Linked DNA regions of Lepisosteus oculatus. The main gene of each other region encodes a partner of the protein of the gene in region 3 in a complex. Links are inferred from orthologs where the notes say so. Each region holds a gene or a part of one and is shown on either strand. Other genes may lie near its edges. The genes, in order: cc2d2a, transmembrane protein 107 and tmem67.

Region 1 (10,874 bases), on a different chromosome or scaffold from region 3:
GAGACAGGAAAATGAAGATGACATGATGGAAAGAGAATGCTGTTCATGCTTGGGCATTATTTTTGGTTAGTTCTGCTGACTTGAATTTAATTCCGATGTAGTCTGTTAAAATTGGCTGACTACAGTAACCACCCGATATAAAAGTGCAGTTTGCGGAAGTTTGCAAACATAAGCATGTGAAGCATACATAAGCATAGTGAACCCGGGGGGACACAAAATGAATGGAGCTTTTTGTCATGTGTAACTGTGGTTCAGGATGGAAGGAAATGGATTTTCTTGCATAACATAAAACCATATTAAAAAAAACCTCATAAGGCCACTTTTTTCATCTACAGTATGTTACTGTGCACATAAAAGTTACAGTATTTGTTGTGATACCAGATAGTAGATGCACTGTAAATCCAGTGTATTGTAGAATTTGGTAATTTCAAGTGACTTTATTTGACATTTTTGGATTATCCTCTCCTCCTCTTAAATTATTTTATTTTGCAATGTTATAATTACTTATCACCTGACAGCACTAAAATTAAAAAAGCAACTTTCTACAATCAAGCTAAGGTACTTAATAAAAAAGTTTGAGAAAAAACATGTTGGGTTCCATTTTTAGATGCATTCTGTAGTTGACATTAATAAGAATAATAGATATATATAAATTAAGAAATGCTTTGGATTCACTAACAGAAATTTAAGACTATTAGCAAAACCAAATGAACTGGGTTTTCATGTAGTTCTTATAGGAGGATTTTCTACTCTGCAAAGAATGAAAAAACATCCTCTTAAAATACCTATACTATTATTAAACCTTAAACTGTCACTGGCAGGTTTTTCGCTTTGAAATCTTTATATTGGGTATGTCGTTTCAAAACCATTACAGTAACATACTATATCTGGCAAATAATATAAGAACATGAATAACACATACAGTATATACATACTCATTTCGGGAATTGCATCGAAAGGAACAGCTGAATTGTAAAGAGATGTTAAAACAAAACTAAAAGAAAGAATACTGTTACCTGAGACCTCTGCTTGACTCTTTTCACAACATCTCGAAACTTTACTTTTGAACCAGCAGGAGATGCATCAGCTCCGTTTATCTTGAATTCGTGGTCATCTAACTGTATATTAGCAATTTCCAGATTTCAAATAAAAAAAAAACAAGAGCACAAACAAAGATGTTTACTGCATAATGAAATGCCTCTGCATTAATTTATATAAAGCATGCCTGTGTAACAGTAGAATTCATCAGGCCCCAAATGTATTTTTATATTCCTTGGGAAAGAAACAGGACTGTAATAGCTTATTTGAATAAGAAAAAAACAGAAGTGTAGAACCTATCAACTTTCAACTTAGCACAAAAACATATCTACTGTACTTATTTTACTGAGGAAGATCATATACTGTATAGAAGGATCATGTATTCTGCATTTCATTTCATTTTCATTTGGAGAGAAAATTGAATAGGATTCCATATGGTTAAGGTTAGACCAGATTTGCTCATTACTCATAACTTGTATCACAATAATTCACCTGTTTGTCAAATCTAGTGACTGTCTCTCTGTCTCTCAGGCTCCTCAGGCGACCTGTAGGCTCAGAAGTGTCTTCCTGCTGCAGAATGCTTTCTGCTTTGGACTAATGAAAAACATAACCTATGTTATATGAAACATATAATTTATAACGTATTTCATATGTTATAAACATATGAAATACAGGATTTTATTTTTCTAAAAATAAAGATTAATATTTTTTCTTCCTTTCTGTTTTTGCGCACAGCAATTTATTATGGAAAGAAAAACTGTTTTACATTGTAGCTGATGTAAGTTTCTTCTGTATAAATATTCTACACAGATAATCACAATATCATAAATTCAGTGTCTGTAAACTAGTGTCTTTTCAGTGACTTCTGACACATTAAGCAAAGACAGTTAAAAATATATTTTTTACACTTCACATTATTTTTTCTTCTCAAAATGTTTCCTTTAGAGGGTGAGTAATCAGTAATGGTTTTATTACCCTGGCAGCTTTCAGTTTCTCTCTCATGCGTTCTCTCATTGAGAATTCTGCGTAACTGGTACTTGGTGTAGACACAGGATGGGGAGACAGATCTTAGAAAAATGTAAATAAAAAACCTTGTAAGAATTCAGACTTGTAATGGCTCAATGTTATATTTTATAACTTTCAAAAAATGTTTGAGGTACTACATCTTTTAAAAATGATACTGTGTATATTACATTTTGTCTCATAAGAAACTTATTGGTTATTAGTAAGTGTTTTGCTGTACCTTACAAGGAGTTATAAGATTAAAATGTTTCAAATTAAGAGTTCATTTTATTTATAAAATGTTATACACTTTCCCAGGTCTGTCATCTATTAAAAATTCTGCAAGAGAATTAAGACTTCTCAATGTTAACGCCATTTATACTCCATTCATAGTCTTCTGTATAGAAGTATAGAAAAATACTACCATGTCTTGCGTCTGTTGCTTGCTGTGATAGGCTCCCACTCCCCTGCAACCCTGTATTGGAAGAAGCAGTTAGAAAATGAAAGGAAAGATGGAAGGATGGAGAAACCAAAGTGCTGCACTGAAGACAATGTTATTCTGTTTGATGGGAAGCTGAAATAAATATGATGAAAACACTATACAAAACAACCCCCCCCCCCCCAAATCTGATGTGAAAACCTTAAGTAAACACTTACTTCTCTGACCATGAACCACAACACTTGGGTCTCTCACTGGCTCCTCAGAGATTATGTCAGCCGTATCCTCCTGTAACTAAGATAAAAGTCAGAAGACTTAATTTTTAGATTTACTATCACTAAATAGGGTGTGGATTGAATATTATCTTCAAGGGAGTATGAAAAAAGCATTCAAAAATAGTGTTTCAAAATCCCTTTGTATTATAATGATTGTAAACATTAAACGGAATGCTCAAGTACACTCGAAGCTGTTTAAGAAATTAGAGGTGCAAATGCTGAATTCAGAGTGACACCAGGAAATGAAAAATCCCGTTTAGAAAAAAAAGAGAGCTTCAAATTGCAAAAAAGTGTGAATATATTTGTGCCATTTTAAAAAAATGTAATACAAATTTCTTAAAGAAAGGAAAGTCAGTAAATACTTGAATATCTACAATAACTTACATGGAAACTAGAATAAAAGTATTTCTTTACTGAACACATCTGTATCACACATTTGAAATTCTATACACTGTGTGATCTATTTAATTAAAAACACTTACAGGCTTTTTTCTCCTCTGTCTCTGCGCCTTCAAAGTTCTTTTTAAATTTTCCACTTGTGTTTCCTCATTGTCAACGATTTCCTGAGTTAGAATATAAAAAGAATCTTTAAAAAGAATGTTGATAAGTTTCAATCTTCCTGAAAATAAAGCCCAAACCACAGAGAATTTTGTCAAAAAGACAAATTATTTAAGGTTGGTATCATGCAGTGCACACATTAAATCCTGGGGAAATCATCAATCAATGTGTTATATTTTTTTAAGACAGTTCATACGAATAGCTTTCAGATGTCCATCAGAAGTTTTGACAGACTTGTGGATTTCTTTACACTATTTTACAGTTTTCCCTAAAATCAAAACAGATGATTAATTGCCATGAACAATAGGTAACCCTGTACTTGCTCAGGTAAAACCATAGAGAACAAGCTCACACTTGCATTGAAGAAACAAGGGGATCATTCATATTAATGCTTTTTTTTTTACTTTGAAATTACCTATTAGACTAAAGTCAAATGAATTCAGTTAATACTAAGATACCGTAGTGCTGTTTAGCGTTGTTATTTTATCCGGAAGAGACAAGCAAAAAAAGTATAAGATAGTTTAAAGGACAGGTACAATCCATGTGCCTTATGAAATCTATAGAGACAGCATACCAAACTGAAAGGCTGAACAGACACCAACCTCTACAGTAGCCTGTTCAGTTTCCTTACTGATTTCCATTTCTGTGGTGACCAAAGCCTGGCAAGCAAAACAACACAGCATTTAATGGTGAAAAGGAGCTCTGAGGAGTAGGTTCCTCCCTCCTTTGGCTACAAACCTCATTTCCAGGGCCTGTTGAGTCTTGCACAGAGCTGCCTTGATAAAAGTTATCTGACCTGCTATCAGTCTACTGAGCCAGTCCTGAACACATTTTCGTTTTACTTTTCACCAAAAAGACTGGATTAATATACATTTACAGTTAGATTTCTTTTCTAAATTTATAAGAAGATACATCTTGCATTTGTAGAACAAATGCTAATTTTTGGAAATGATGGGTGGAGTTGAGGGGCTTATTCAATGCCCACAGCAGTAACAGGGAAAATATTATCTTTCACAGTAACTGCTAAGAGAAAAAAATTCAGAAGTGCCATAATGAACATTATTGTTCCTTTATGTGATTCATAAGCTATGGGAAATTAAAAGCAAAACTGTTTAATGTCAGAAAGCATCTGACTCCAGGAATAAATACAGAGACCTCTTGGGGAAGTTTGAAATCAGTGCATCAGTCAGTAAACATGCCTAGTATGAGCCATGTAAGTCCAGTTATCATTCTGCCTTTTTTCAAATTGAACGGCTACCCCCTCTGTATATTTTCATATAATTATCAGTTACAGTACTTCAGTCAATCATCATTTTACCTGTTTATCAATGTCATCTTTAACTCTTGTCAAAGATTCTTGAAGTGCCTTCCGCTTCTTTCTAATTTTCTCACGTAGATCACTGAAAGAGAATTGGGATACCAATTCAGTGATATCAAAATAAAACACTAGCTGCAAACAATAAAGATTCCTTACACTTATATTGCGCTTTTATATAATCAGGACACACCACTCAAAACACTTTGAAGGTAATGGGGACTCCCCTCCACCACCGATGTGTAGCATCCACCTATTTAATATTGTACCCTAACACTGTAGGTAGTCTTTACTAGCTTTCGTATCTTATAACTGATTTTAACACCTTAAGGATGTGCTCTGCTGTAAAAGTAAACCCCCTTTAATATATAACTGTTTGATGCTTTTGGATATATTTGTCCTTAACGTTAATGAGTTTGCATGTTCTCCTAATAATTGAGGGGATTTTCACGAGTTACACTGAATTTGAAGAAGTCCACAGGGTTAACTTATTCATTTAAAATCCTGAAACGCAGAGACAAATCTATCAATACGGCCAGTGGAACTAGATGACATTAAAAGAAACTAAAGGGAAATGATTTTAAAACTTAGAATGGAGGTACTTTTTACACAAAGGATTGTGGATGTCTGGAATACGCTAATACTCTTTCTTCTTTCAAGAATCAGCTGGATGACACATTCAGCTCAATTAGATACTAGAAACAAAGTCAGGTCTATGGACTAAATGGCTTCCATTCTCTTTCAAGCTTTTTTATGTTCTTATAATTATATGGCCCAGTTATTTAAAAAATGTTGACTGCCTCATCAACCAATAATTCCACCTACCTTGAAGAAGCCATGTCCTTATGCACAGCAGTTTGACATCACAAGAAAGGATGCCAATTAAAACTCGACACTTCAGAATTCTCCTTTCTATTGTTGGGTCCCGTCTCAGATTTCTGTAAAAAAAAAAACACTGAAGTCATTTAAGCAACTAATTAATGGTTACTCAAAATCTTTGTCCTGTAATAAAAGGTAGGATTTGTTTCTTATGCCCTAGAGCTATGCAAAAGAAAAATACAACCTCGGGCAAACCTGTTGCATCATAATTACTATCTAATTGGTAGGTGTACTACTTATATAGAAGTGCTATAAACAGACAACAAATAATTTACTTTAGCCGCAGATACAGTACGTACACAATTACACATTGAACAGAATACAGTATAAGCAAAGTTATTTATACAAATAAAAAAAGTAAACTAATATACTGTGCCTTGCATTGTTTAAATGCAATTTATCTATGCACATCTCATAAAACAAGCATGATACCGTTTGTGAAACAGTGAGTGTAACATTTCAAATAAAAGCAATGCAAAGTCACATCTGGCATATCTTTCATTGTTCGATATTCAGACATATACCAGTATATTTTCTTTCGCTGTAAACACCTTATCAACTGCCGCAGGCTGTAACACTAGTTCAGTTTTGCTGCTTAGTAACGACGGAAACTACTTTCCAACCAAACTTGATACCTTGATGTAAAAACAACCCCAGTGCTCCTCTGCACTCACCTCATTCAGCAACTTGCTTGTCAATCAGGGCAGAGGGCGGGCTTGAACGGTCATTAACTATGGTGGCTCGGAAGGGTCTATATTCATTAAATCGATTAGATTTCAAAAGGAGTCCAAAACAAGATTTAAACGTATCTCACAGCAACCTTTCTTTTTTATTTTTGTTACGTGTTTTAGGACTATTTCTCCATTCACCCCAGTTCTATCCGATCTTTCAATTCAGGGTGGAGTTTTTTTTGTGGAGGAAGGGGGTTTAACCGAAACATCCTCGGTGACACTCGCGGGTTTGGAATTAAACCCAGGAATCCAACACTGCGTCACTATGCCACTGTGCCACCCATAACATCTCCTTATTTTAAAATATAACATTCAAAAGAGAAGAAGATGATCGATCCACTTTCCTTTTTTGAATTTATCCAAATTAAGTGACTGATCAAGCTATTTTATTATTTTTAACCCATTGAAATATGTTCTTTATGTACACTTTTTCTCATCTGGCACTCCCATAAACCTGAATTGGATGAAGCATTTAGAAAAGGGATGTATTTTGTCAAACAATCCAAATATATGTTATATTTTTGTATTATACATGCAATTAGGTTATTTTAATCTTTTATATAATAATTCTAAGGTAGTGAGAGGTGGCTTTGAGGGGAAGTCACCTGTTGATGTAAACAAAACTTTAAAAACAAGGCACACCTGGGATTTCATAGGAGGTGAAGCAACTGATAGGATGGGCACAGTGTAGAATTGTAAGAGCAGCTAGGAGGAAAAGGATTTCAGTCTGTGTCTAGGTTTCAATCAAGTGAGAAGTGAGAAATTATGGGGTCTCATAAGTAATGAATTGAGCTGGCTTACAGACCTGCAGTTCTCAGTGAACAAGGGATGCTTGAGAAAATATAGGTTGGACTGTTGTAGGTGTAGGACAGATGGGTGCTGCATAGTAATTAGGAAGAGGATTGACTACACAAAAGATTAATGAATGTGAAGGTGGCAGTGTAATGCTATCCCAAAAAGCCTGAAGATGAGGAAGGTATTGTAACGCTTACGGCCGACAGGCACTGTGTAAGAGCCGGCGTACCAGAGCAGGTGACGTCACCGCCCTTCCCTGTGAGCAGGACTACAGCTACTGGACTGTGGAGAGATCTCTATTAGGCTCACCGGGCTGGGTCCCTGTTGAGTGACATGGGAGTCCTAGGTTCGAGCCCCTGACGGTGTGGGGCTGACCTAATGTAGCAAGGGTGCCCGTCTGAGCCCCTGTTGCGTTACATTGGTGTCAGAGTGGTGTGGGATAGCCCTTCACTGGGGGCAGTGATTTAAGCGGGGGAGGGTGTAATGCTTATGGCCGACAGGCACTGTGTAAGAGCCGGCGTACCAGAGCAGGTGATGTCACCACCCTTCCCTGTGGTAGCAGGACTACAGCTACTGGGCTGTGGAGAGATCTCTCTTTGGCTCCCTGCTGAGTGACGCGGGAGTCACGGGTTCGAGCCCCCGACGGTGGGGGGCCGACCTAATGTGGCAAGGGCACCCGCCTGAGCCCCCGTTGCGTTACAGTATGTTTCTTGCTCAATTGGCACCAAAGGTACTGGAATATTAAGGCATAATAGCTTGTTTGTCAGGCACAATGGGATTGAAGTTGGTTGCTAGGGAACAGAGCTAGCCTGCTTAATTAAAACTGACTGGAGTCTTTGGCACCTGGAGTAGGGCATTGCTTGGCAAGGTAGAAATATGCCATCTCCCTATTCCTGAGAGAGAGTAGTCTAGCTAGCACAGGTTGAGTACCGAGGACTCCCTGGGTTTTCATAAATTGACAGACTGGTGGTCTATGAGAAGAGAGAGAGAGTCTTAAGCAGACTGCTGCTGTGTCAAGGCTGCAAGTGTGGGCTACATGGAGGTTTGTCTGGCCAGGGACAGCTTTATAGGTAGTGATGAGAAGAGTAATTGGTTATAAGTGAAGATCAGGTACTTGGTGAAGATTGAGTGAAGGGTTGGGGTGAAAGTGTTGCACAAAGAATTGAGTGAAAGTGAATTTAGTCAACATTGTATTCAGTCAACATTTAATCTGGATAATCTAGTGCCTGGTTGTTGAAGTGATTTTAGTTAAGACTGAGATTGAGCCTCATGGATACAGTCTAATTGAATATTCTAGTGGCTGATTGTTAGTGAATTAGTGAAGATTAAGAATTGGGAAAACAGATTTAGTCATGTGCCTGGTGATTAGTGAAGATGGAGATTGGATAATCAATGAGAAGATCAAATGACTATTTTAGTCATGCATAGTGCTTGGTGTCAAATGAAGACAAAGGATGAAGAGAGTTCCAAATAGGAAGATCTATAGATGTTGAGTAGAACCAAGTGAAGAGAAACCTGGAAGGAGGAGGAAGACTGTGCGACAGCAAAACATCAAGTAAAAGCTAGGATCACGGAGGCAGTCCAAAAGTTGAAAGATTAAATGATTTTACGTTAAAGTGCAAAACACAAAGGTGACATCCTTCTTGGGGAGAGTGATGTGTGTGCCAGTGGTTGTCACAAAGAACTTTCAGGATCTAATTACATTTAATCTTAAAAATATAAGAGAATAATGGACAACTTCGGGGTTCACAAACATTTTCTCTTCATCAAATAATGATCATACCATTAACATCTGCCACACTTATTACTTCATCTACCATGATTTAAATATGTCACAAATAGCTAAAGCTTCTTGTGATTTTCACCTCACAAGTATTGACATAATTATCCCACCCCCATTGGGCCATCAACTGCTACTTGCCATGTGGCCTCTTACTCAATGTCAATCCTGGGCAAAAATTGCTTGACCATGTTGTTCTAAACATGGTAAGGACAACTCTAATGACAATAGTTAACATATGGCAATGTGCGGTTCTTGCAGAAAGTTAAATGACAAAACGAATGCCATTTTATTAAAAAATGCAGTCTGTCACTGTCTTAGGCACTGCCCCACCAATTCTCTCGACACTTGGCAGTTTCCATGATATGCATACTGCACTTCAGAATTGCCCCTCAAAGGTTGTAGTAATACCCTATATACTTACGGTACAACATGTCATCTCTTGTTTGGTGAATCACATTTCATAATGCAAGTCGATCCTGTGAAAAATAGGACAATTAACTTCAAACATGAAAGCTATCATTGTAGATTCTATACAATTAATAAATATAGAGAAACAGGCTTCCTACATAAATCAGAATGGCCACCATATAGTTCTCTTGTTCATACACTTCTAGTATTGCAAACTGCTGGGTAAAAAATATTTGGTAAAGTATTTCCAAACTTGGTATGGATATGGTGCTTTGGACACCACTGTGAGCTTGGTGGTTAGCACTACTCCCTCAAACTGATTCCTTTCCAACTTGGGGGACCTGTGTGTATGGTGTCTGCTTGTTCTTTCTGATCGTATATGGGTTTTTGCCATATGCATTGATTTCCTCTGATCTCATAGAAGAGAAATCTACTTAAGTTTGACTGCATAAGTATCAGCCGTAATTAATACAAACAGAACATGTGAAGAGATTTATTTTTTCCGAAGGCTTTTGTTAAAACTCCATATGAAAGTTTCATTCTCAACATCCAAGCAGTATGCATTCAAGGTAAAGCATGTTTTTTAAAACAGAAATAAATACAGTACTTTAGCACAAAGTGCTGTCAGGCATATTTAAACACAGTTTGTTTGTATGTTTATCAGACTTATTTAAACAAAGCGCCCATGTTGGAATTGCTTTTTAAAAATTGACCACATGCCACATGAAAAGCCACATGAATAGGAAGCACATTATATAGTCCAAGTAACACAACTAAATAGAACCTTGGATATGAATCAAAACAAGGTGGCACAGTTTTACAAAAACTCCACCTTATCCTAGCCAAAAACAAGTACCAGCAGGTACTAATCCATCATGCTATTCCACCAGAAGCACATTTCATTAGGCGTGGATGCATCTTCCAACATCACACTGACTCCAAGCGAACAGCGTAGTGAAAAAGTACTTAGATCATAAAATATGCCACTCACCACTTGTCTGAAAATGGTTGAAAAGGCCTTGGTCTGAACAAGTCCTGATATGAACATCATCATTGGGTACTGGGATTATATGAATACCACATAAGTTAAAACAGCAACCAGACAGCCTGAATAATTTGTGGAACATGCTACAGGATATCATATCAAATCAAGGAATTGTGTTCTTTCTAAAACAAAGGACTCATATCAATGTATAATATAATGTATTCTTTATTTTACACATTTTGTTGTTTATATATTGCTGTATAATGTATTATGTAAGTACTGTAAACAGATATGCTCTGCTTCAGCCCAGTTTGCAAGAAAAAAATCCAGAATTCACTATAGTATAGTAAGAATAAAAAGCTTCTAGCACAAGCTGTACATGATCCCTTTTGTACTAGTTTATTATGGGACAGTTTATATAAGTCACAAACTGTATTTACTGCTGATGTTTGTGCACCTAGGAAAAAACTGAAGAATAAGACACACATTGTAGTATTTGATGGGACAATCTTCTCCAACTATATACACTGTAGTACATAAAGGTCAGACACTCATCAGCCAGCTTGATGTCTGGTTACAGCATTTTGAGTCCATCCATCCATTTACTAACCTCCTCTTCCAATTCAGGATAGTTAAGGAAAGCTGGAGCCTCATTAAATACTGAAG
Region 2 (10,874 bases), on a different chromosome or scaffold from region 3:
CATCCATTCAGCAGGAAACGGCTTATTCCTGGCGAAGATCGTGGCAGAAGCACAAGGCGAAATTTATAGAGAATTTAAGAATCTGTTGTTGAAACACAACACCAGAATCCCAGAGAAAACATTGCCTTGAAGAAGTGTCCCAGGAGCTGTGAGGTCAGAGCATTCATTGCGCCTGGTGAGTTATAGACCCTCTAATAAAGGTTTGACGATCTGTCTGCTAGATTTTGACTCGATTCTATTTCCACTGGAGACAATGGCAGGTAACTGAAAAGTAACGACGCACTGGCTCGTACAGTATATTTTCAATGCGGCCAGATCCAGCAACACCTCACAGGCCACAACACAACTGTTCCCGCTCTAAAAACCCTCATCTCACGCTTTCAAACGCGGTCGTTTCATGAGCTTTTTCCGATTAACTCCACGCTGGTTCGGTAAAACACGCACCTTCCGCCTGTTCTTCCCGGGCCGAGGCTGTAAATCATATTCCGGCAGCCTGTTCCCTCGCCTCGAGAGGCTCCTGCGGCCGTCGCGTCGCCGCGCGTGCGCTCGGCTCTTCCCGCCCAGGAGGATGGCACCGCGCGCGCCAGGAGGCAGACGCACGAAACATCTCGGGGGCAGGGAGCTGCGTCCGCGAGCGCAGGCTGCAAAGGAACAAGTCGAGGTTTATTCCGGAATAAAGAGCATCTATTTATAATAAATGAATCATTCTGGGTAGATTTCATATTTATAAACCAAAATGGTCCAATAATACTCCCCTTTTAAGTACTTTTGAGGTGGAGTTGAAATATGAATTCTATAAAAAACTTAAAACATTTCAAGTATAATGTAAACAGGCGCCGTCCTTCGGATGAGACGTAAAACCGACGTCCTGACTCTCTGTGGTCATTAAAAATCCCAGGGTGTTTCTCGAAAAGAATAGGGGTGTTACCCCGGCGTCTTGGCCAAATTCCCATTGGCCCTTACCAATCATGGCCTCCTAATAATCCCCCTCTCTGAACTGGCTTCATCACTCTGTTCTCCCCACTGAGAGCTGGTGTGTGGGGAGAGCACTGGTGCATCATCCAGGTGGGGCTGCACATTGGTGGTGGTGGAGGGGATCCCCATCGCCTGTAAAGCGCTTTGAGTGGAGTATCCAGAAAGGCGCTATATAGGTATATGCAATTATCACTGCGGGTCATGGAGCAATACTCCAGAGCCTCGGGGTCGAAGCTCAACCGCCGAAAGAGCAAACCGAAGTTCTTCGGGCCCTGGAAGCACAGGACGACGGTGCCGGAGGGTCTCGAGCTCTGCACGGAGCCCCTCAAAATACTGGGGGTTTCCTTCCAGAGCCAGGACAACAAGACCAACAACTGGACCGAGAGGATCGCCAAGGTGAACGCGAAGCTGGGTCTGTGGTTTACCTGGCGGGGGTGTACCCGCTGCCGGCCAGACTCAGACGAGCGCTGCAAGGGATGATCTTCGGCTTCATCTGGGGCGGCAGGTACGAGTACATCATGAGGAACCGGATGTGTCAGCCGGTCGAGGAAGGGGGTCGAGATGTCCCACATTTCCCCCTGAAACTCGACTGCATCTTCTTCTGCAACCTCTGTCGGGCGCTGCGGGAGCCCATCGGCCACAAGTACCAGTACTTTGTCAGGCTGTGGCTCTCCGTCCCGATGAGGCACTTGGTCCAGTGGTCAAACACCGGGCCCAAGGCAGAGAGGCGACCGGAGTTCTACACCCACACTGTCAAGTGGAGCAGGAGGTACGAGGCCACGAGACAGCCAGAGCTCTGCACCAGAGCCCTGTACAAGGAGGTGAGGGGGCATCTGGTCGCAGACGAAAGGCTGCAGGTTCCCAGACAAGTCTGGGAAAGAACGCAGCCGAAAGAACTGGACAACGAACTGAAGGACCTCAACTGGATGGCCGTACACAAGAGACTGGCTACCAGAGAGGTCCTCTACAGACACTCGATCTCCAGGAATCCGCATTGCCCCCGGGACACGTGTTTCGTCGAGGAGACTCAGGAGCACGTGTTCTGGAGCTGCCCCTTTGCCAAGGCGGTGTGGGGCAGAATGGACAACATTATGCAACTCCTGGGAACGGGTGTGGTGCTCAGTTACCAGTACATTCTGCTGGGGCTGGCACCTGATTTGATTTTTAAGAACTTTATTTTCTTTTCACAAAAAAATACAGGACATCACAAATTAGAAAGCTTTACATTAATATACATACTTAAAACAGTATATATGATCACATCTCATTACATTTTGACACGGTACCAGTTACATAGCAACAATTTCTTTTTTTGTGGTGCAAATCACATTCTTTACTTAAACATGATAATGTTTTTCACAGTTTCTTGAGATATTGACCTATGCTCTCTATTTCCCACAGACTTTCTGCTTCCTCCCTCCCTTCTCTCCACAGATCTCTGAGGTAATAGTTCTCTCGGGTGATGAACAGGGCCAGGCTACCTGCTGCCTTGACTGGGACCTCGATGCCTTTGAACAGCCCCATGTTCCTCACTCTCCACAGGGCGTCTTTCCCACTGTTCACCACGGCCCAGATCCTGTCAAACACGTCAGGAGGAAGTTTGACAGGAGAGATGCCGTATATGACGCAGCGGTCAGGGTAAATTGGGGCGAGAGAGCTTGCAACCAATCTTCAAACTGTGCCCAGAAGGCCTTAGCAAAAAAGCAGGACCACAGGAGATGGGTCACAGTCTCCTCCTCGCCGCAGCCCACCCTAACGCAGCGAGGGCTGGGGGTGAGGCCCCTACGGTACAAGAAAGTTCGTACCGGTAAGCACTGGTGGACGACACTCCAGGCTAAATCTCTGTGAATGTTGCACAGAAACTTAGAGGATGTGTGTTTCCACACCTTCCTTGTTTGGGCTGGCACCTACCGGATCAGACAAGGGGACGCCGTTCCTGATGTGGCTGCTGCTGTCCCTCACAAAAAAGGCCTGTGGGACGCGAGGAGCACTCTCATCCGGCGCAACATCGAGTGGGGAGCGAGGGAGCTGGAGGAGAGGATCCTGGCGGGCCTCAGGAGGAGGATGAAGCGCGACATTGCCAAATGGGGTTTCCCCACGGCGAGGGAGTGCTGGAAAGGACTTTGGACCCTGTACAGGGATTAATGGACAACAGCAAGTGGTAGGGTTTGGAGGGACTCTCATAATCGCGCAAATCCACCCACACTTGCAATGATTGATAACGGACAATCACCGCCGTTCCGCCGTTGTTTTTATTACGTAGAGTGTTAATATGTGTGAGATGTTTCCTTTTGAGATGTTTTTTTTTCGGAATAATAAAGAAAAAAAATACAATTATTATTTGATGTATGTATAAAATATTACTTGGTCACATAAATACTTTTCCTCCTTATCTCTGGCAGTTAAGTTTTTTTCTGTTTCATCTTTCATCCATTTCCTCTCCTCTATTTGTATTTGTAAACACAAATTTGTTTACACATTTAATTTTTTTTTTAAGTTACGGTTTATTTCCTGCCGCAGAAGAGAAGAAGAGACTGTGGAGTTTCCTAAAAACGGAAGTATAATGACTCCATTAAAATTAAAAAGCGACAGACAGAAGGTAATTAAATTTTTCCTTCAACAACGACTTCAGTGTAATTAGGAGATTTATTTGTGAAACATAATTACCCAGAATAAGTAAGATCAACGAAGCTTTAGTACACATCATCTGGATCACTAGTTATTTTCTTATATTTAACGAAGTTGTTTTGATCGTCAGTGAAAATCAGAATGGAATTAACGAGGGTGTTGCATTCCTCATCAATTGTGAGATATTAATCATCATCTCATCTCTCTCCATTCATCATGTTCTGAAACTCCATTGCTGGAGTAACAGGTAAGGAACTACCTCACTGACGATACCGTTTAACTGCTAACGCGGAGTTAGTCCTTAATGTTTCGGGTCGAACCGGTCATGGTAAGAAACGACAACTGGCCCATTTTAAACTTCAATATTCGACCGTACAAGCAGCAGATAATGTCGATGAGAGTAGGAAGTAGTTCCCAAGCTCTCGAGGCAAAAAGGATTCAACAGCCGTATTAAACAAGTTTTATTTCAGTAAATCGTGAGCGGTTCGTTTCCCCCAGAAATCCTTGCGTAAGTAATTTACATATCGTGGTAATTAAGGCGTTCCTAGTGGTTCGGCTATCAGTGTCTGTTAGCAGAGCAATACAGTATATAGAGCAATATCATGGTGTGTTTTATACACTTTTTGTATATCATGGGTTAAACACGGTTGGATACATACACATTTATATGTGCTTCACAAAAGGACAAGTGATGGAGTTGATGGTGATGGAGCTAGTTCTGATCTAATCAAAAGTTTTAACAAACATGTGGCAAAAGAAAACTGTCCTTGTTTGCTACAGTCTGGAAACACACGCCCGCTCTGTTTTTAAATCTCCACTTAAGTCTCCAATTTTTTATTTGCTATTTCGTGTCACTTCCGCGATTTCCTTCGTCACCCTGTAAACGTCACCTCGCAGAACGCGAGGCTTCTCGCGAGAGTGCGCGGAGATCTGTTCAGTTGCTGTAGCAACGACAGCGGGCGGCGTGAGTGTCGATTGTTTAGTGAGCTGTTGTAAACTATGAAGCCTAATTTCAGATTTTTAAGCATAATTTGTGCTTTCATCTCATTTTCCTTTTAACTCCAAAAGTGTGTTGTTTTTGTATTTTTGTTTCATTGGTATCATATTTGCGGAGGGCGCTGGATTGTATTTGTCGGTTTGAAAATAAATCATAGCTCCACCGTAACGGTAAGAAACGAACAAATTGTTTTAAAATGTGTTAACTCTTAAATTAACACAAAAGACGGGCACCGTGTGCCGTCCTGGGTGTTTTGAAGTATGTAATACAAGTCCAGCGGTGTCGGTAATAATTCCACTAGATAATGTTATCTATTGTTGTGCAAAAAAAAATCAGTTTTTCCTCATTCCTAAAATACTCGGTGTTTGACGAAACATTAAGAAAAACGTTCATGTTCAACCGGGTTTAATAAAGAAGTGAGGAGGGACTTCGTTAGTGGAGTACGAGCGTAGTAACTTGCGTCATTTTAACATTTTGAGCTTCTAGTCACGAATAGTCACATATATTATCCTAATTGTTAATCTAAGTGATATGAAATGTAGTTTTCTTAATCTGTTCTTGTTCGCTCCACTTCTCAGTAGCAGCAGCAGTAGTAGTAGGGTGTCCGGTGAATCTTTCCTAGTGTTTGAGCCCTCGTGTGGAAAGATGGGGCCGGATCTGTCAGACGCCCCCGGGTGAAGGAAAAGAGTCCAGTTTCAGCTCTGCCCTGTCCTTCTGTTCTTCCTCTGCAGGTCCCGGCGAGCCTCGGTGCCTCTGACCTCTGACCTCGGCCCTGCCGACCTGGCCTGGCCCGGCCCGGCCCCAAAAGTAGAGATGTCTGCTGTGAGCAGCCTGGTTCCGGCCCGGTTCCTCACCCTCACTGCGCACCTCGTCATTGTCATCACAATATTTTGGTCCCGGGTACGAGCCCGCACTTCCAGCAGAACCAATTGTCAGGCTTACCCATACGTCTTAATAAGTAAACAGTCTTGCAAAATTCTTAATAGTTTTCTAAGATCTCTACTGGCTTTCAGCTTCAGTTAGTCCTTCCAATAGGTCTCTTACCACTGCCCTGTGCTGCATGGCAGTGTAGTCAGGGCTAAGCTCTCGTAACAGGAAAGTTGTGGGTTCAAATCCCAGGTGACCCGCTGTACACATGGGTACAGATATGTAAGTGGGAATAAATTGGGAATCATAAATGTTGCTGTCCCTGAAGATTGATAGCGATGTGGGACTGAGTGCTGTGCCTGGTGAATGCACCCCTGATGTTTGGCCTTCTCCCTAACTAGTGTGTCGGTGTGTTTTCCTCTCAGGAGAATAACGTCCTGGCCTGCCTGCCTTTAGAGTACACACAGGAAGAGTACAACAGCCAGGATACACAGTAAGTCCAACGGAATTTCGACATCATGTTTAAGATCGGTTGTCTGCCACAATATTAGGGACCCCCATTGCGAAATGGCGGCAGCCCAGTCCCATCCCTTTCACTCGAGTGTCTGTGGAGGGACAGTGGTGTCTGGGATTGACCTGTATCACTGGTTTCACAGCAGGATGGAGATCTGAGAGGTTGTTCTGGCCAAGAAAGGTGATGGATGGATGGTGTCTGATACCTGCACCCTTTGTTCTGCACACAGAGGAAGTGTAGTGATTTCACTGCTTGGTTCCTAATATTTTGGTTAGTGAGTGGGTACTGTACCACTCTGTATTGTATGTGTGTTTCTGTGAAAGTGTTGGTGCTGCCTGTGTGTAAATATTTACCAATGCATGGGAAGAACTGTGTGTTAAGTGTCAGTTTCGGGGTTCTCTCCCACTACAAGCCTTCTGACGTTTTGTGGGCGGTTGCTTCTCTTTCCGTGTCGCAGGCTCGTCGTGGCCCTCTCCGTGACCCTCGGCATGTTTGCCATCGAGCTGGCCGGCTTCTTCTCCGGCGTGTCCATGTTCAACAGCAGCCAGGGCCTCCTCTGTATCCTTCACACGCTGCCCAGGACTGTGGCCCGGACCTCCCTGGTCCCTTCACAGAGCTGCCCGAGGCTGATATGCTGTTCCCAGTGCAGAGTCTGGTCTCCCACCTGTTGAATTTTAGTTGGGAAGCATGTGGAGCTGTGATGGACAGCCCTGAAGTTGACAGGACCGACTTCCCCTAGGGGCAGGGAAATACTGAAAGCAGTTGGACACTCCGATCCAGCTGAGGATGGGTTGATGAATATCGGAGAGAGAGCAGGCACAGGCAGGGTTTAGCCGTCAGTGTGTCAGGCAGGGTGTCCTGAGAGTAGCGCAGTGAACAAACAGGGAAAGATGTCATCTTGCTGTGACATGTGAGATGTCCTGGTATGAGTGTATCTGAGATGGGTCTCCACTGCGATGGAGTGGCTTCCTGTCCAGGGTGCATCCTGCCTTACATCCAGTGCTTGCCAGGATAGTCTCCAGCTGTCCCGCAACCCTGAACTGGAAGAAGCAGCTAGGAATCGGGTGGCTGGAATTAGAGATGCATGTTTTGTACGGTACGCAGCTGAATTTCTGTGTTTTTCTAAGAGCCGATAAAGTTGAAAGTGCTCTGATTAAGTGAGCTGTAGGTTCAGTGAAGAGATCAGTTAAGAGACCTGGAGCTGGCCGACGCTATGGGGTCACAAAGGACCAGCAGTGGGGATCCTCCTTAAGGCTCGGGGAATCTGGGTTTGACTGGAACGGGTTCTCGTGGCCATAAGGGCACCCCGCGAGCGCCTGGGGTTACCACTCCCTGACTCAGCCACTGCCCTCCAGCCACTGCGGCCCACGCCAGCGCCGGAGTCGCGCTCGTCTTCTTCCTCTTCGAGCAGTGGGACTGCGGCCTGTACTGGTGGATATTCGCCTTCTGCAGGTCAGTGACTGAGCGACTGACGGCACAGGCAGACCGATGCACTAACGGGGGGGGAGCGCTTTTGGTCTGTTTTTGGGACTCGCTCAGAGGGAAGACCGAGCCCCCTGGTCCACACGGTGCTGGTTTCAGCCAAAACAGTAAATGTTGGTCGCCCACAAGACGTGGCAAGTAACTGACTTGGCAGTTTAGTTGTCCAGGGTTCCCCCCTTATCTTGAACGCAGGTAGTAGGATACTAAAGAGTTTTAATTAGGTTTACCACTACAAAAATTATAATTGTGTTTAAGGAAATTGAGTTGTGATTTTTTTTCCAGAAGGAAACACTTTGCACTAAGGCAGGGAGTTGTGAAATAAAAAATATTTTTAGAATTTAGAATTGTAGATCTTCTCTGTGTTGCAACTGTAGGTTGATTCCTACCTTAACTAAGGCCTCCTTGAAGAAAGAGCTAAGTCTTAACGCAAATGTGTGATGTGAGCACATGTATTTGTTGCCACATCTCTGAACACAGAAGGAGTTCCTGTTGAAGACGGTTATCCCTTTTGAAGACTTTAAGTGAAACCGGCTGGTGCTTACAGTATTGATAAAAACAATGAGAGCATCCCCCCCCCCCCACCCTCCCCTCAGTCTGGTTTGGTTGTTTTTCCCTGACTGGCGCCCCCTGCCAGCCCTGGCCTGTCACTGCAGCGCCTCCGTCTGCCTGTCCTTCTTCGTGTTCCAGAAGTGGGAGTGCTGGACCTACTGGTATATTTTTGGATTCTGCAGGTAAAGTTGCACGTCCTTGCAGCTGTGGGATTCGGTGGGACGTGGGCCTAGGGGTCAGTCACAAGTCGGGGATGTACAACCCTGTCCTGGACAGTCACACTGTGTCTTTCTCCTCTTATTTCTTACTAAGCCCTGAACGGATGAATTGGGTCGATATCTCACCTACTATTAGCCCTATCAAGGGTTTGATTATTGAGCACTCAGGTGGACCAAACACTGCAAGTGTGTGGATCCCCAGGACAAGGGTTGGGACTATGATGTATATTCAGACTGTAGTGTAAGTGGTATTGATTCCTGTGTTCTCTGATGTGTTTTCAGCGCTCTGCCTGCTGTTGTGGAGATCTTCCTCTTCATCGCAGTGTTTGGGCTGAAGAAGAAGCCTCTGTGAGCCAGGAGGCAGACTCACAGTTAGGACACTGCTGCCCTCCTTTTAGCTGAACCATGAACCACGTTCCTCCCCTCCACCCAACTGGAGAAAATTGAACCCAGCACAACCCCCCCCCCCCCCTTCAGATTTCGCCCTGAGGTCGTTCGCAGGAACACGCACATGCCGGCAGGACGCCGCTCGGCCCGACCGGCTCTTTCAGTTCACGGCTTTACCGACGCTGTTGCTGCTTATTCGGAAAAAACAGCCACACCCGGTCTACATCTCCTCTCGTGCAAAAAATAAAATCAAAGAAAGGCAGGGAGCCAAACCGGAGCCACGCAGTGCCCAGCGGTTCCTGTGGCCCCAGGCTGTGTGTCCCTCCACTGCGGGTGCTCCGGGTGCAGAAATACAGGCCGGCTCTTCGCCAGGGTGAGTGCCCGCAGCAGAGAGAGAGCAGGCCGCTGGCGGGTGAAAAGGAAGAGGTACCTTTGCTGCTGGCAGAGCCTGGCAGCTCCTGAAGGGCAGTAAATGGGTCAGCCGGCAGGGGCTCTTGATCTTTTTATATTTTCTAAAATAAACAGCCAACTTGACAATAAGCAGTCTGTGATTTTTATGCTGGTTACCTGTTAGGTGTTGTGTGTGTGCATAGCAATTTTATTGTTTTCTGCCATGCTTTTTTTTCCCCCTATTATTATTGAGAGGAAAATAAAGGTCTTTTGTTGGCGAGCAATGTGCTGACCTTACAAGGCAAGTGAGGAGACAGTGGAAGGCAGTGTGACTGACATTGCTCCTCTGCTGTCAGGCTTTGCCTTCTGCTTTTAGATGGGGGGGAGGGGGGGTCTTCTTGGAGCTGCCCAGCTAGCTCTGCAGAAAAGCACAACACAGAATGATGCGGTATACTGTACACGTCTCCATTGAGGATCACATCTCTGTATGCAACTCAAAGGTTGGGGCAGACTTCCCTTAAAGATACATGCCCGACTCCAAGAAGGACAGGTGTATGCTTCAGTTGAGTGACTTCCACAGCTCTTTTAAAGGCTGATTTCGTGATTTAATGATCCTGCTTAATCGTGTCTCGCGCTTTTTTGTGCTGAATGTTTTAATAAGATGTGAACTGGATTTTGGATATTTCTTTGTCCCAATGTTTTTTTTTTTTGGTCAAACCGATGATTTTATGGTTGACATCTACGCTAGAGGAAGAAAACGAGGTTGTAATATTTGAGCGGTGGGCGTCAAGCTCTCCTCGGAAGGCGTGCTTCTCACTGGGCAGTTCAGAAAAGATTGTCATCTCGAGTGCCCAATGAGCGTTCCTGATGCCGGCTGTGTGGTTACCGCCCTGGCCAATCACAAGCTCAACCTCTCGTTTGGCTAGTCCAATCAGACGCCGGTTTGGATTTAAACATTGGCGGTCACGCTCGTGGGGGTTAGCAACTGGCTGTAGAAGCAGGGAGCAACAGTGCATATGCAGGTAAAAATGTAATTAAAAAAATATATATTATTTGCGATTATATTGGGAGACGTTTAATAAATCCTTTTCTGCGCTGGCTATGCTAGTTGTTTTTGATTTGTTGGTTTCGTTAAACATCGTATCTGACGTGTTTTTTTGTGGAGTTTTGTTATCGAGTAACGTTTTAAAGCATTTTACCCGTCTTTATCTTTTCACTTCGTGTATAGCAGCTTATCTCCCTTTAAAACGATTCTCAGACGGAGGTAAACCACAACCCGAGGTGTAACTTTTCAGCGGGTAGTTAGTTTAGGTAAACAAAAGGCAAATCATTTGTAATTGAATAACTGTTGGTGTATCGATCTGTGTTAATTTACTGGGACCCTTTCCGGAATCGCCTTGAATTTAAAATAAAACGGCCGGGCGTTTATAATCCGAAAACCCAGAGGCAGGACACGAAAGGAAACCGCTGGATGCCGGTTTGGGGGTATCTATATTCCACACCCGGGTGGTACAGCTAAATGGACGTACAGTATTTAATCAACTCGATATCACCCGTGGTTAAGCACTCCTTCGTGGTAGACTTGATAAGGTTATTGTAGTAGTTCAAGTAAGTAACTGCGTCAGCATGCGTAGGCTGCAAAGGAACAAGTTCTTGCTCCTCCGTGCTGAAAAGGAGAGACACAACGTTTAGGCTGTGGAGCCGCCTTCAGTGTGTGTTCAGGTCTCTTGTTCCTTCACTGTCACTATAGCTGACCTCTTGAAAGCCTCCAGCGCACGGATTTCGACAGGATGCACAGTCTTGTACAGTCGTGCTCAAACGTGTCGTCTTTAAAGTGCCTCTTCTTGTGTTGCACCTTGACGCTTGT
Region 3 (10,874 bases):
TCCTGTTTAGAACAAATCCACACAATACTGCTCCTGTCCATCAACAATGTGGCCCATATTGTATACCACAATAGGCTTTGATACAATGAACAATCCTTCTTTTAGTTGTTTATCCTCACTTCATAAACTATTAAAACTACAGGAAAAAATCATAACTAGACACTAAGAAAGAAAGAAACAAGCGTTTATGAAAGTCTAGAGAAATCCTCCATCTTCTCTGTTCATAAAGAACACAGATCAGTCTTCTTGCTTCACTCCATTTTCTGGAACAAACATCAGTATTATCCACACCAAATACAAAAGCTCCCGATGTCCAATTTCCACTGGAAAGTGTTCTTGCTTTTGAATGTTTCTGTCACATCCAATGCAGTGGCAATGCTTGAGGAATGTACCAAGACGGATCTCTTGCTTAAGTGCAAATTGCACAAAGTGGGACCAAGCAATTCAGTAGAGTGAGGGCTCCCATGTTCCGTGTATCCACTCCATTCTCTTTATGCCAAACAGATATCAATCAATAATATTGAAAAAAATCATCTATATTATCCAGATGACAAGCTTGATTTAAACAGACATTTATTCATCTACACAGATTTCAATGTATCGTAAAAAAAAGCCCACCTCAATTTACTTCAGTACCGAAACAACAAGCTATTGAAGAGATTCAAACCCTAAAACAAAACTATCCAAAGCCATCACGGACAGAAAGAACGAAGATGATGATAAAAAAAAACATCACAGATAAATTTCACAAACAATGACTGAGATCAAGAAAACTTAGCCGAAGATCTCCCAGGCAGTAAAATCACACAACGTTAAGTGACCCCGTCACTGCTTTAAAAAAAACAGCTCTCATCCACAGACCTGTGGGTAGGATGAATTCATTTCCTGCAGAATTCAAGGTGCAGTTGTTGTTCACATCAAGGTGAACTAAGAAATATCAAAGTCTCTGATGGATCGACTCAAGGAAATTAACCAATTTGCTTTCCAGATAAAAACCAAGCAACAGCAACAGCAAACTTCAGAACAAAAAATGAAACTGTTTCTACCATACTGTATACATCTTCCCTAGTCATTAGATAGAGAAGTGAGCTGTTAAAAAATATATTATTTTTAAATATAATTTTTAATTAAAAAGCTTTTAACTGCAATTCTATTTTAGAATAAAGATTCATTTTAATTTACTCTAAAACATGCATTTCATCTTTTACCAATTAAAAAAAAACCCATGCCTGGAAAAACAAGGAAATTGTGTGGCAGAAAAGATTACGTACTTTCTAAACAGCAAGTGGAAATCCCATCCACACACTAAATTACAGCAAAAATCAGACTACAACATGCATAGAATAAATCCTTACTTTCTTATACAACATTGCACTTTTCATTTTAAACCCCCCTATGAGCAGTCAGACCCCCCAGACCAGGTGCTAAGTGAAAGTTTCCAAATAAATGACGCAGCCCTATCCCTTGCAATTATACTGATTTGACAGATTATTCAGAGGAAAACAGACGGGTTTTCTTCCAGTGAACCCACAGAAGTTAAAAGTGCTGCTTTGTTGTGACAACCATAATATCAGAAGAAAGAAGAGCATACCAGGTTCCCGCAAACTTAATGACTACATAGGCAACAAAAACCTGTTGGGAGGTTCTCAAACTGTGCTTAATTGCTGCCGGTGTTTTGGATTTGCACCTCTCCTGATTGGCATTTTAAGGCGTTGCTGCTGTTGTCTGTCGCATGTTCAGAGACTGTAACTGAGGGAAGGACCGAATAGCAGGGGTCGTGTGGTGGGAGTCGACTGGACTGGGTGTCCACTGAGTGGAGCATCAAGACCGACCGACCCCCCCTCCGGTCTCTGCAATGAAAAAAAAAGTGGCACGTCTCCTTCAACCTCCTAAATCACTGCGAGGACGTCAAAATGCAACTAGGTTAATCCAAACCAAGTTAATGAATGACTGTGATTTCTGCAAACAGAACACCGCGCCTGGCGGCCCACAAAACGAGTAATTGTTTCACAAATGTCTTCACGCATCCGTTAAATTAACCCCTATACTGTATTTTAAATTCTGCATGAAACCCTTATTGTATTTGCCGTCTTCCAAAGTGACTCGGTCGTTAAAGCCTAATTTAAGATGTACCGGATATCGTTCAAATTGTATTACAGTACAAAACAGTAAATGGCATACACAGGCAACAAACAAAATAACTGAAAACAGGTCGCTTTTGTGGTAAAAGCAAACACGCTGCCTCACTCTGTTATGTACCTCTCATCACGTTATCTAATCTCATCGATGAACCTAAAGCAATTGGGAAAAAAAAACTGCTGCACGTTATTTCATAATCCAGCAGCGGTTAATCAATCAAATACATTATTTTAACACCCGTTTAAGAAAACAGATGCACTAACGGTATCAACAAAAACACAAAACAACACTGGACAAAGTGCCAGGAAATTTAAAACTACAGTATAACGGGAAGGAAACGAATATCTGAGAACCGTTTCGTTAAATTAAGCAACTATTAAAAAATACAACACATTATATTTGAAATAGCCTATGGACACGTAACAAAACTGCGGGTTAACAACATAAACCGAAAGGTCCTGAGCACTCAGACAATAATTAGACGGTTTCATGGAAGTACACGGAAAAACCCAGAACCCACGCAATTGCCTTACGTACAACAAATATAGAATAAAAATGATTACTTGTCCAGGCCAACAGAAAATATAATCTCCAGATGTCCCGAATCACTCCCCAATACAGGTAAATTTCGATATTAGAAGAAAATGGCGTCCCCCCTCCAAACAACGAGGAAAACGTCAATTACAAAGAACGTCACCATCTACGGAAACTCAGAATAGCCAAAACGTGTTTCTTCTTTTCGAAAAAAAATAATCATAACACTTGGGTTAGCTATACTTTAGTTTATACTGTACCGTAGCCTTAGTACTGTATCTCTTATTGTGCTTTTTCGCATGTAAGCGCATATCTACTAGACACTTTCATTTTTCCATTGATAAGGATGAACGGGTTACTTTCTCTGTAATGCATTGATCCAAAACATATTGGACACTTCAAAGGTTTCAGATCTATGCATTTTTGAGAATCTTCACTTGAATATTTTAGACTAAACTCTAAACCATCCCAAATTGAAATGCTTCATTCTAAAATAGCCTCTTTGTCTTTTGATATGTTGATGGTACACTGGAACATAAAAACGGCTTTGTGTGAACTAATGCTGTAAAGTGCAGACACTATATAGGCTGTATTTAAGGCCAGTCACAGGCTCAGGTTCATACATCTTCTAATCTTTCTGACTAGTTAGCAGTTTATAATTTGTAACCGCTTTGAATTTAATAATTAAATGATTTAGATCCTTCTGAGTGTATGTTTATAAACTGATCATTTTTTCATGTAGTTAAATATAAATGCCACTGTCAAAAGACTACAGCTTGACCAGATTTATAGGATTGAATTATTTAAGTCAATGCTTGCATCATACCTGGAATAATAAAGAAGCCATTTACTAAATGTAATGCAAACTGAGCTAGAGGATTTTTTAACTACTTCTCAACACTGAAGGCTCCATAAACTCAAAGCATATAAGAGCCTTTCAAAAACAGGATGTATAATCACACTTCCTTATTTACATTGGTTTTCATATGTAATTCCTGACACAAATCGTTCATGTGCTTTTGGTAAAACATTACTTCACTTCCACAAGGTATATCTACGAGAAGCATCAATTTAAAAGCTAAAAGCTGGCAAAAAAAAACGAAATTCCTTTCTAATCAAGATTTATTATCTCGTTCAAAAAACAATTCCTATCTTCATTACGAAAAAAATAAGCAAACATGCTTAATGCTATGACAAAAAATCTAACTGTGCTATGTACAGTGTATATAATGTGTTCGGTGGTAACCACATCGATCAGCAAACACACCTCCTTTCCTCTCAGACTCATGAAAACATTCCCACAAGCCTGACAGCAACAGCACAAGGCTCCGGGTTTTGGACGGTTGGATTCTGGGAAACAGGAAGGCTGTCTACCATGGCGACAGGGACGCTATGTGTCTTTATGTGCAGATCTATTTTATTTGTGTTGCTGAAATCAGGTATTTACAGTTGTCAGCAATTCTCCATTCCCTTTCAGCAACCCTCAGGGTGCAGCAGAGAACAATATTTTGACATTTCAAGTCTCTCCTGCGTGAAGTGCGGACCTAACCAAATCAAAAACGCAGATGGTAAGTATCAGTAGTATTTGATGCTAGTATATAAATCGGCTCGGCGCCCTTCTGATTTATCTTCTTCATCAATGGAGTCAACACAAGATGTCAAAATAGGTCTCCGCCAGAATGACTTTCCAAACAGCAATTTTGTCGTAAATTTGTATGTCATTTAGTTAATCACATTATTGTAAAATGCAAATGAAAAAAAAACAACAAACTGAAGTTATCATAGTCTCATTAATTAATGTAAGATACAATTAAAATAGACGAGACGTAAAATTCTGGTTTACCTAAATGCTGCTGCATATTTCTTCAATCGATGTTAAGCAACGGGCTGAACTGGATCTGAAAAATATGGTTTTAGGTGATACATTGTGGTTGCAGGCAGATCGTGAAAACAAAGTATCTGTCAACTTTATACTTCCGTCATCATTCCTAATAATTGTGTCATTCTTCTGTGTTCCTAAGGATAAGAGAACAACTCAATATGTTTAGTGCTTTGTGTTACAGGGACTTCGTGTATATGCGAGACTGGATTCGTACTGGTATCTAATAACGGAGAACCTGCAACCTGCGAAAAATGTCCTGATACAAAAAAGGTATGATTCTTCTACTTCAGTGCAGTTTCTTCTTTCATTAAGAAGCTGAAAAATAACTTAAATGTAGGCTGTATAGGAAACAAAAGTTGGAGTTATTTTATTTCTCCCTGATACTCCTGACTTATGGTTTTAATTTTGATATCGCTTATGTTTTTAAGATTTCAACACACAATCACACATTCACAGATCACACAGCCAACATCTTTATCTTTTTACACTCTTTCTTTTTAAACCACGTCCATATACCCTTGGGGCCCTGACTAGCTCCATTGGTAGTGCATGAGACTCACAATCTCAGGGTAGTGGGTTCATGTCCCAAGTCAGGCGCCAGGTCCTCCATGTTGGAGGTCGGGCACAAGGCTAACAACCCTGTTCTGTAAAATACTAAAAACAGGGTGTTTCTGCCCCTAAATGCCAGAAGGCGTAACAAGCAAACATCCCTCCATATACTATATGAGGTTTAGTCAATGTGTGCTCTGAAAATTGCCCTTGTATCATCCTTCTTTTCTGTTCTGTTACTAATTTACCATCCTCGGGAATAAGGGGATGTTGCTAAGAGCCCATCTAGCCCATTTGGTTGCTAGTAGCTAAGTGATCCAAGGATCTCAGCCAGCCATTTCTTGCGAGAAACTAAGGTCCTGGCTTGTTCCATGCTCCCACAACACTTTGTGTAACGATGTCCACATTCTTTTGTGTTGTGGCGGGGTAGCGTGACAGGTATTGGTCTTTTTAAGTCAGGCTTAAAAAGCAACTGTTCACAGCACACCTTCCCAGGTATGACATCTCTGTTGTTTTTATGTTTCTGGGTATATCTCCTGTCTGTCATAACAGGGAGTCACCAGGGATGGCTTTGGATGTATCAGATGCCCAGGAGGTTTGAATGACGATGGAACATGCCAGTGCTCAGCTGGAAGTATACTGGGTAAGATTGTTTTAAATCTACAATCTCCCTAGCGAGTTAAGGGAGAACTGGAACACTGTTTTTAAATTTCGGATTTAGAAAACATCAGCATTGATGAGTGCATTTCAAACCACAATAACAGTCAAATGTACACAGTAACTTGTAAAACCTCCAGTTTCCATCACATGCAGCGCCATGTTCTGCCATTCAGAACGAGGTAACAAAATTTCCAGTGACGTGAAGTGACTCTTGCTTGTTTAACTCTGCATGCATATCACATTGGAAACTTTCTGTGGTGCAATATCTGCTGCACAATCTGTTATTCACTCTGAACATCACGTTACATCAGTCATTACAGTGACTAGTGAGCAGGAAGGGCCGCATCACATCACACTTCTGGGGAACTTGAATGTGAGTTGGAGACAACATGGCAACTTAACGGTACTTTCCCAAAGTTCACGAGTTTGTGCTTAATTCAAAATTTGTCAAATTTGTCTAAACTGTCAATGGAGTCATATTGCTACCGAGATTTGATATGTGAGAAATTGGGACTGGAGTTTGCCCTTGAGCTGCATTTCATGGAAACAGATATTACTGTGGGAAATACTTCCTCTATTGTTCTTAATGTCTGCTTAATTGAAGGAATGCATGCTTGTATTGACTTAATTATAAACGCATATATTAACCATTTCTCCATGTTGTGTGTATGTTATTTTTCTTACTGACCTCACATTTCCCCCACCAGTTGAAAGGGATGTCAACGGAAGGCAGCTGGAAGAAGGGAAGTGTGAGCCCTGTATTGCTGAAAAACCTGTTTTTACAGTCCCAGATGTTCCTGGAGACAGGTAAATGACTCATTTTTAGTAAATCTCCCTCAGACATAAAGTATTTCTAGAAATTGTTTACTGTATGTTCTGTTTTCTCACAGGTGTGTCAGATGTCAAGAATCCTTTGTCAATACATCCCTCTCCTGTGTTTGTGGTCCATCTGGTACACCAGTACGTATTTTTAATGCCTCTTAAAAACATACCTATGTATACAAGTATACTTTGTTCAGCTCTGATTTGCCTTATTGAAGTAATACTTTTCTTACAGGACTCAGAGGAGCATATCACATTGTATACATATTTTCCTGTTTTGTTGTTGAATTGTTGTGTATCTTATGTTTTTTATGATTATTTTGTAGCTGTTGGTTTAAAGCTTTCATATGTGAGAAAGTGATATGAAGAAGTTTATCATTGTTTCACAGGATGCAATTTACAATTCTTAAGTTATTGTCTGATGCTGAATTGCTTTGTGGGTAAATGCCTTTTGAGATGTATTTTTTTAGTTGTATAATAGTGTGGTCTCACAGGGTAGGAAAAATATATGGAATGGGTTGTCCAACCTAATAGATGAACTGTGTAAAATAACTGTTTATAACACTTATTTTGATGTTTTCAATTTGTACATGTTAAAGTATTTATTTCACCTATGTTTTATTACTGTTTCACTTAGGAATTTCTCCCTTGTTATATATTTCTTCTGTTATTTTTAGGATTTGTACCATAAATCAGGGTTTTTGATATTTAGGTATGAATTATTTACTTTTTCAGTCAGGAGGTTCATGCTTCCCATCAAATAATCTGCCAACAACAGTGACTTCCAGCATTAACTTTGCACAGCTGGTAAGTAGATGGTGAATTTCCTATTCTGGAAATAGATGATGCATATCAATTCTCACCTTTTGTTTGGTCATGCCACTGAAAAATGTACAAATTGTTAGTCAGAGCAGATCCTCTTGTCATACCGGGATCTCTTTCTGAAACAGAAACAGACAAACGTCTTGAAGCAGTCATATTGTACATTAAATCACATTCCAGTGACATCAATAATTGAAGTAGTTTACATATACAACCTAAGTTAGGGGTGACATTGAGACGAGTAGTTTATTAAATGTGAAATGTGGTAGCAGCACAACAGTTCTTTTTGTATAATTTACTGTAGATTCATTAAAGTTGCTAATTTAAAACCTAATTTTCCCATTCAGGCCATTCCGGTTCAGTCAGTTTGGTTTGCTAAAAATCTTCTGTCTTCAGCAACTGCGTGTTTGGTAAGGATACACAGCTGCAATGTTTATCTTCTTTTGTATTTAAGCAAAACTTTTTTTTTCAATATTGAGATTGTTGTACGACGTATGTGTACTTTATATTAAGATATACATAGACTTCTGTGTCATTTTGTTCTGTTTCTGTTTTCTATTCATGGGAACATTTGTTTCCAAATGTTCTGGGAACATTTTTCTGTTCCCAGAGGACATACAAAAATGTACAAAAAGTAAAGGAAGTCACTGACCCAAGACTTCTTCCAGGCTTTTGAAATGAGAGGTGCTAGAGATCTTACTCCCAAAATATAGTTTGATAATTCATCTCAAATATCAATAATCCTAATATGTCATAATTGTCAGCTCTGAGTCATTGTTTTGTATTTACTCCTGTGTTAAGGAAGGTCTTTTTGTCTGCTTCGGAATACCCAGATTCTGTTTAGTTCCAACCAGAAGAGATTATTCTGACACACATTTTCAAATTCAAACAAAAGGTGTGTAAAAGAAAATGTTTTGCAGCATATTTTCAGGTGTCCTTTGCCTTTTTGGATTGCATCTCCATGTAATGTGGATGCAGATGATGATTCTACAGTCAACAATAAACACTTAGAATCTTTCTGTGCTTTGACTTCCTATTCTGAATGTGCGTTTGCGTTGTGTGTAAAAGCACATTCTTATCAGAGACTAATGGACATTCATCTTCATCTGTCACCGTCTAGAAACCTAGACATGAATACCCATAATTACAGTTATGATGAGAAGGTCCCAGACCTTTCCCTGATGAAAACATTTGCACTGTCATGGCAGGTCTGCGACAGGATACCGTGTAATTCAAAAACATCTCAATTGCATCCCATCAGGTTATGACCTGATGTTCTGTTCTGGAAGCCTATTCATTCTTATTTATTTTATACATTAATATGTCTAATTCCTTTGGCTAACAACAAATCTGTATTTCCAATGACTGATGAAGTTTGTTTAAGTTCAGTAACATATGATTATATACCGAAAAGACGAATTCCTAATGCAAGAAATTGTATAGGGCTTATAAAGAAACATTAATATTATTAACACTACCACTGTTTAATTGGATTTAATTTTGAACACATAAAAAGCCCAGTGTTGGAGTACTTTTTATACTTATTTAAGCTTTAAGACCAAAAGGGTGTTATTTAGTAGTCAGCAGCAAAAATATGCTTAGGCTTAATAAAAGGAACCTACAGTGCATGCATTGTTTTATTTTAGTAAATTGAATTTCTATAAAATATGAGTATTTTGTGGTTTACATGAATTGCAGTGATTTTCCAGTGTTAGTCATTTCTTAAACATTCACCTCTGGTAATGATTATCTTGCAGACTCTTTCCAACTTAGCTTCCTGTCAGGCCCTTGGAAACATGTGCGTGATGACCATGAATTCCATCAGCAGTGTCAGTAACGATGCCTGTGGCCTCTTTAATAATATATTCAGAAGCACTGCAGCTCTTGGATCTGTACAGGTTATATCCTACTGGTGAGTCACATCTTTTATAATTGCATTGTCTTATAACTTGCTCTTTAACCAAGAGGAATGCCAACATTTTTATAGAAGAACTTGAATGTATGTTGCAGGACTATCATACAAAGAATGACCGGATGGATTTTTTTGGATGAATAGAAATGTTACTATAATTTTGTACAGGATAGGTCTATATTCCAGAGGTGTAGACAGCTGTTTCTAAGTGCTGTTTTAAAATTCATTCACTTTATAGCAACCCATTTGTGTCCCATGTGACAGTGGAAGAGTATTTAGGTATATAATATGAGAAAGGAAACATTTAATAGCTTTGTTGAAGATTTTTGGTCATGAAATTAGAGTATTTGTTGAAGTCGGGAAAACAAGTGTGTTTTGCACTTTTCTTTTTCTCTAAGAATGCAACCACAAACACGTCCACGTTTTTGTTCTGTTTCAGGAGGGCGAATCTCCCTTGGCTTTACTACGGTGATCAGCCAGGTTTGGCTTCTCGAGTCCTTTTCTCTGTGTCTTTCCCAGCGAGCTTTAGTTTTAAGGGTGCGGCTCAGGTAAAGCAATAGAATCCCTTTTTGCTCTGTAAGTCACATATAAACTGTATGATATGAGGGCTATATATGCCAGTTTGTGCTGTGTCCATTTTATTGAAAAATAGGCTACTCATTTCGCACACTTCCTGCTGGGCCGGTCCAAACTGGCCATCTATAAAAACAGAAAAGGCCAAAGTGCTGGCAAAGGAAGTGTAGAGATGATGAGGATGTTTTAGGGGTTGGTAAACAAAACTGGATTTAACTGGAATTCCTATATTTCAGCGGGTGAAAATCCTATTGCTATTTAAAGTCTCCAAGTATGTTGATGATTCTTCATGGGAAATAACTGGGGGAAGACTGGTCTCTAACCATGAGTGCAAGTACCACATCTTAATAAACAAAATGCTTAACATCGATGGAAAGGACTGTAGTAATAGTTATGTTTTGTAAATGTAATGCCTGTACTGGATATGTTTTCATTGCAGATCTCAAAAGAACAGCATGTATTTGCCTTTTGTTTTTGTTTTGTTTTTAAATAAATAAATGCTTTATTTCCTAAGGTCATGGGGTTTAAGCTGCAAGTTAAAGAAACAGATAACATTTCAGATAAATTCTTTATTATTGTACAGTTTGTACCTTTTAAAAGTATTGGTACATAAAAGTCAAGTCTGCTATTTGTGCTGTATCCATGCTTGCTTAAAAGTGTTGCTTCAACAGCTTTGAATAGCTTTGTATCATTTGACAAATCAAATGATATTTTACTGACATCATTTCCAAAGCAGATTTTTCCTTGCATAAAGAATGCCTTTAGGACTAACCTTTTCAATTATGTTAAAACACCACATGACCTTCAAAATGAATTATCTCTGACATCTATAACCAAAAATCTGATTGAGCAAAATGATTTTGGTTTTATTGAATTTTGTTTCTATGTTACCACTTTTAGAACACAAAGATCAAATTTGTTGCTGCTGTCTACAATGCAAAAGGAAACTTCATTAAATGGGAGAACATTGGAGAGGGCAGT

Evidence for each region.
Region 1: tmem67 (region 3) and cc2d2a share a complex: the UniProt entries of both Homo sapiens proteins name them as parts of the tectonic-like complex. The link is inferred for Lepisosteus oculatus from reciprocal best matches to the Homo sapiens genes TMEM67 and CC2D2A.
Region 2: tmem67 (region 3) and transmembrane protein 107 share a complex: the UniProt entries of both Homo sapiens proteins name them as parts of the tectonic-like complex. The link is inferred for Lepisosteus oculatus from reciprocal best matches to the Homo sapiens genes TMEM67 and TMEM107.

The regions. Positions count from the first base shown.
Region 1 is NC_090696.1:45,323,147-45,334,020, reverse strand, and holds the start of cc2d2a (coiled-coil and C2 domain-containing protein 2A), read right to left. Parts: upstream 6,149-10,874; 5' UTR 6,058-6,148; exon of another isoform or gene 6,031-6,057; intron 5,566-6,030; 5' UTR 5,467-5,565; coding exon 5,453-5,466; intron 4,713-5,452; coding exon 4,631-4,712; intron 3,972-4,630; coding exon 3,915-3,971; intron 3,318-3,914; coding exon 3,237-3,317; intron 2,774-3,236; coding exon 2,698-2,773; intron 2,516-2,697; coding exon 2,465-2,515; intron 2,106-2,464; coding exon 2,014-2,105; intron 1,633-2,013; coding exon 1,531-1,632; intron 1,119-1,530; coding exon 1,017-1,118; intron 1-1,016. UniProt on the Homo sapiens protein: Component of the tectonic-like complex, a complex localized at the transition zone of primary cilia and acting as a barrier that prevents diffusion of transmembrane proteins between the cilia and plasma membranes.
Region 2 is NC_090698.1:9,297,551-9,308,424, forward strand, and holds transmembrane protein 107, read left to right. Parts: upstream 1-4,528; 5' UTR 4,529-4,770; intron 4,771-5,331; 5' UTR 5,332-5,413; coding exon 5,414-5,500; intron 5,501-5,892; coding exon 5,893-5,960; intron 5,961-6,438; coding exon 6,439-6,539; intron 6,540-7,336; coding exon 7,337-7,433; intron 7,434-8,097; coding exon of another isoform or gene 8,098-8,194; intron 8,195-8,512; coding exon 8,513-8,582; 3' UTR 8,583-9,157; downstream 9,158-10,874. Other genes in the region: aurkb (aurora kinase B), read left to right, coding at 10,024-10,029. UniProt on the Homo sapiens protein: Plays a role in cilia formation and embryonic patterning. Requires for normal Sonic hedgehog (Shh) signaling in the neural tube and acts in combination with GLI2 and GLI3 to pattern ventral and intermediate neuronal cell types.
Region 3 is NC_090705.1:7,410,420-7,421,293, forward strand, and holds the start of tmem67 (meckelin), read left to right. Parts: upstream 1-4,031; 5' UTR 4,032-4,048; coding exon 4,049-4,241; intron 4,242-4,736; coding exon 4,737-4,825; intron 4,826-5,656; coding exon 5,657-5,747; intron 5,748-6,471; coding exon 6,472-6,571; intron 6,572-6,654; coding exon 6,655-6,724; intron 6,725-7,321; coding exon 7,322-7,393; intron 7,394-7,755; coding exon 7,756-7,818; intron 7,819-9,165; coding exon 9,166-9,320; intron 9,321-9,759; coding exon 9,760-9,868; intron 9,869-10,793; coding exon 10,794-10,874. Other genes in the region: rbm12bb (RNA binding motif protein 12Bb), read right to left, coding at 862-882. UniProt on the Homo sapiens protein: Required for ciliary structure and function. Part of the tectonic-like complex which is required for tissue-specific ciliogenesis and may regulate ciliary membrane composition.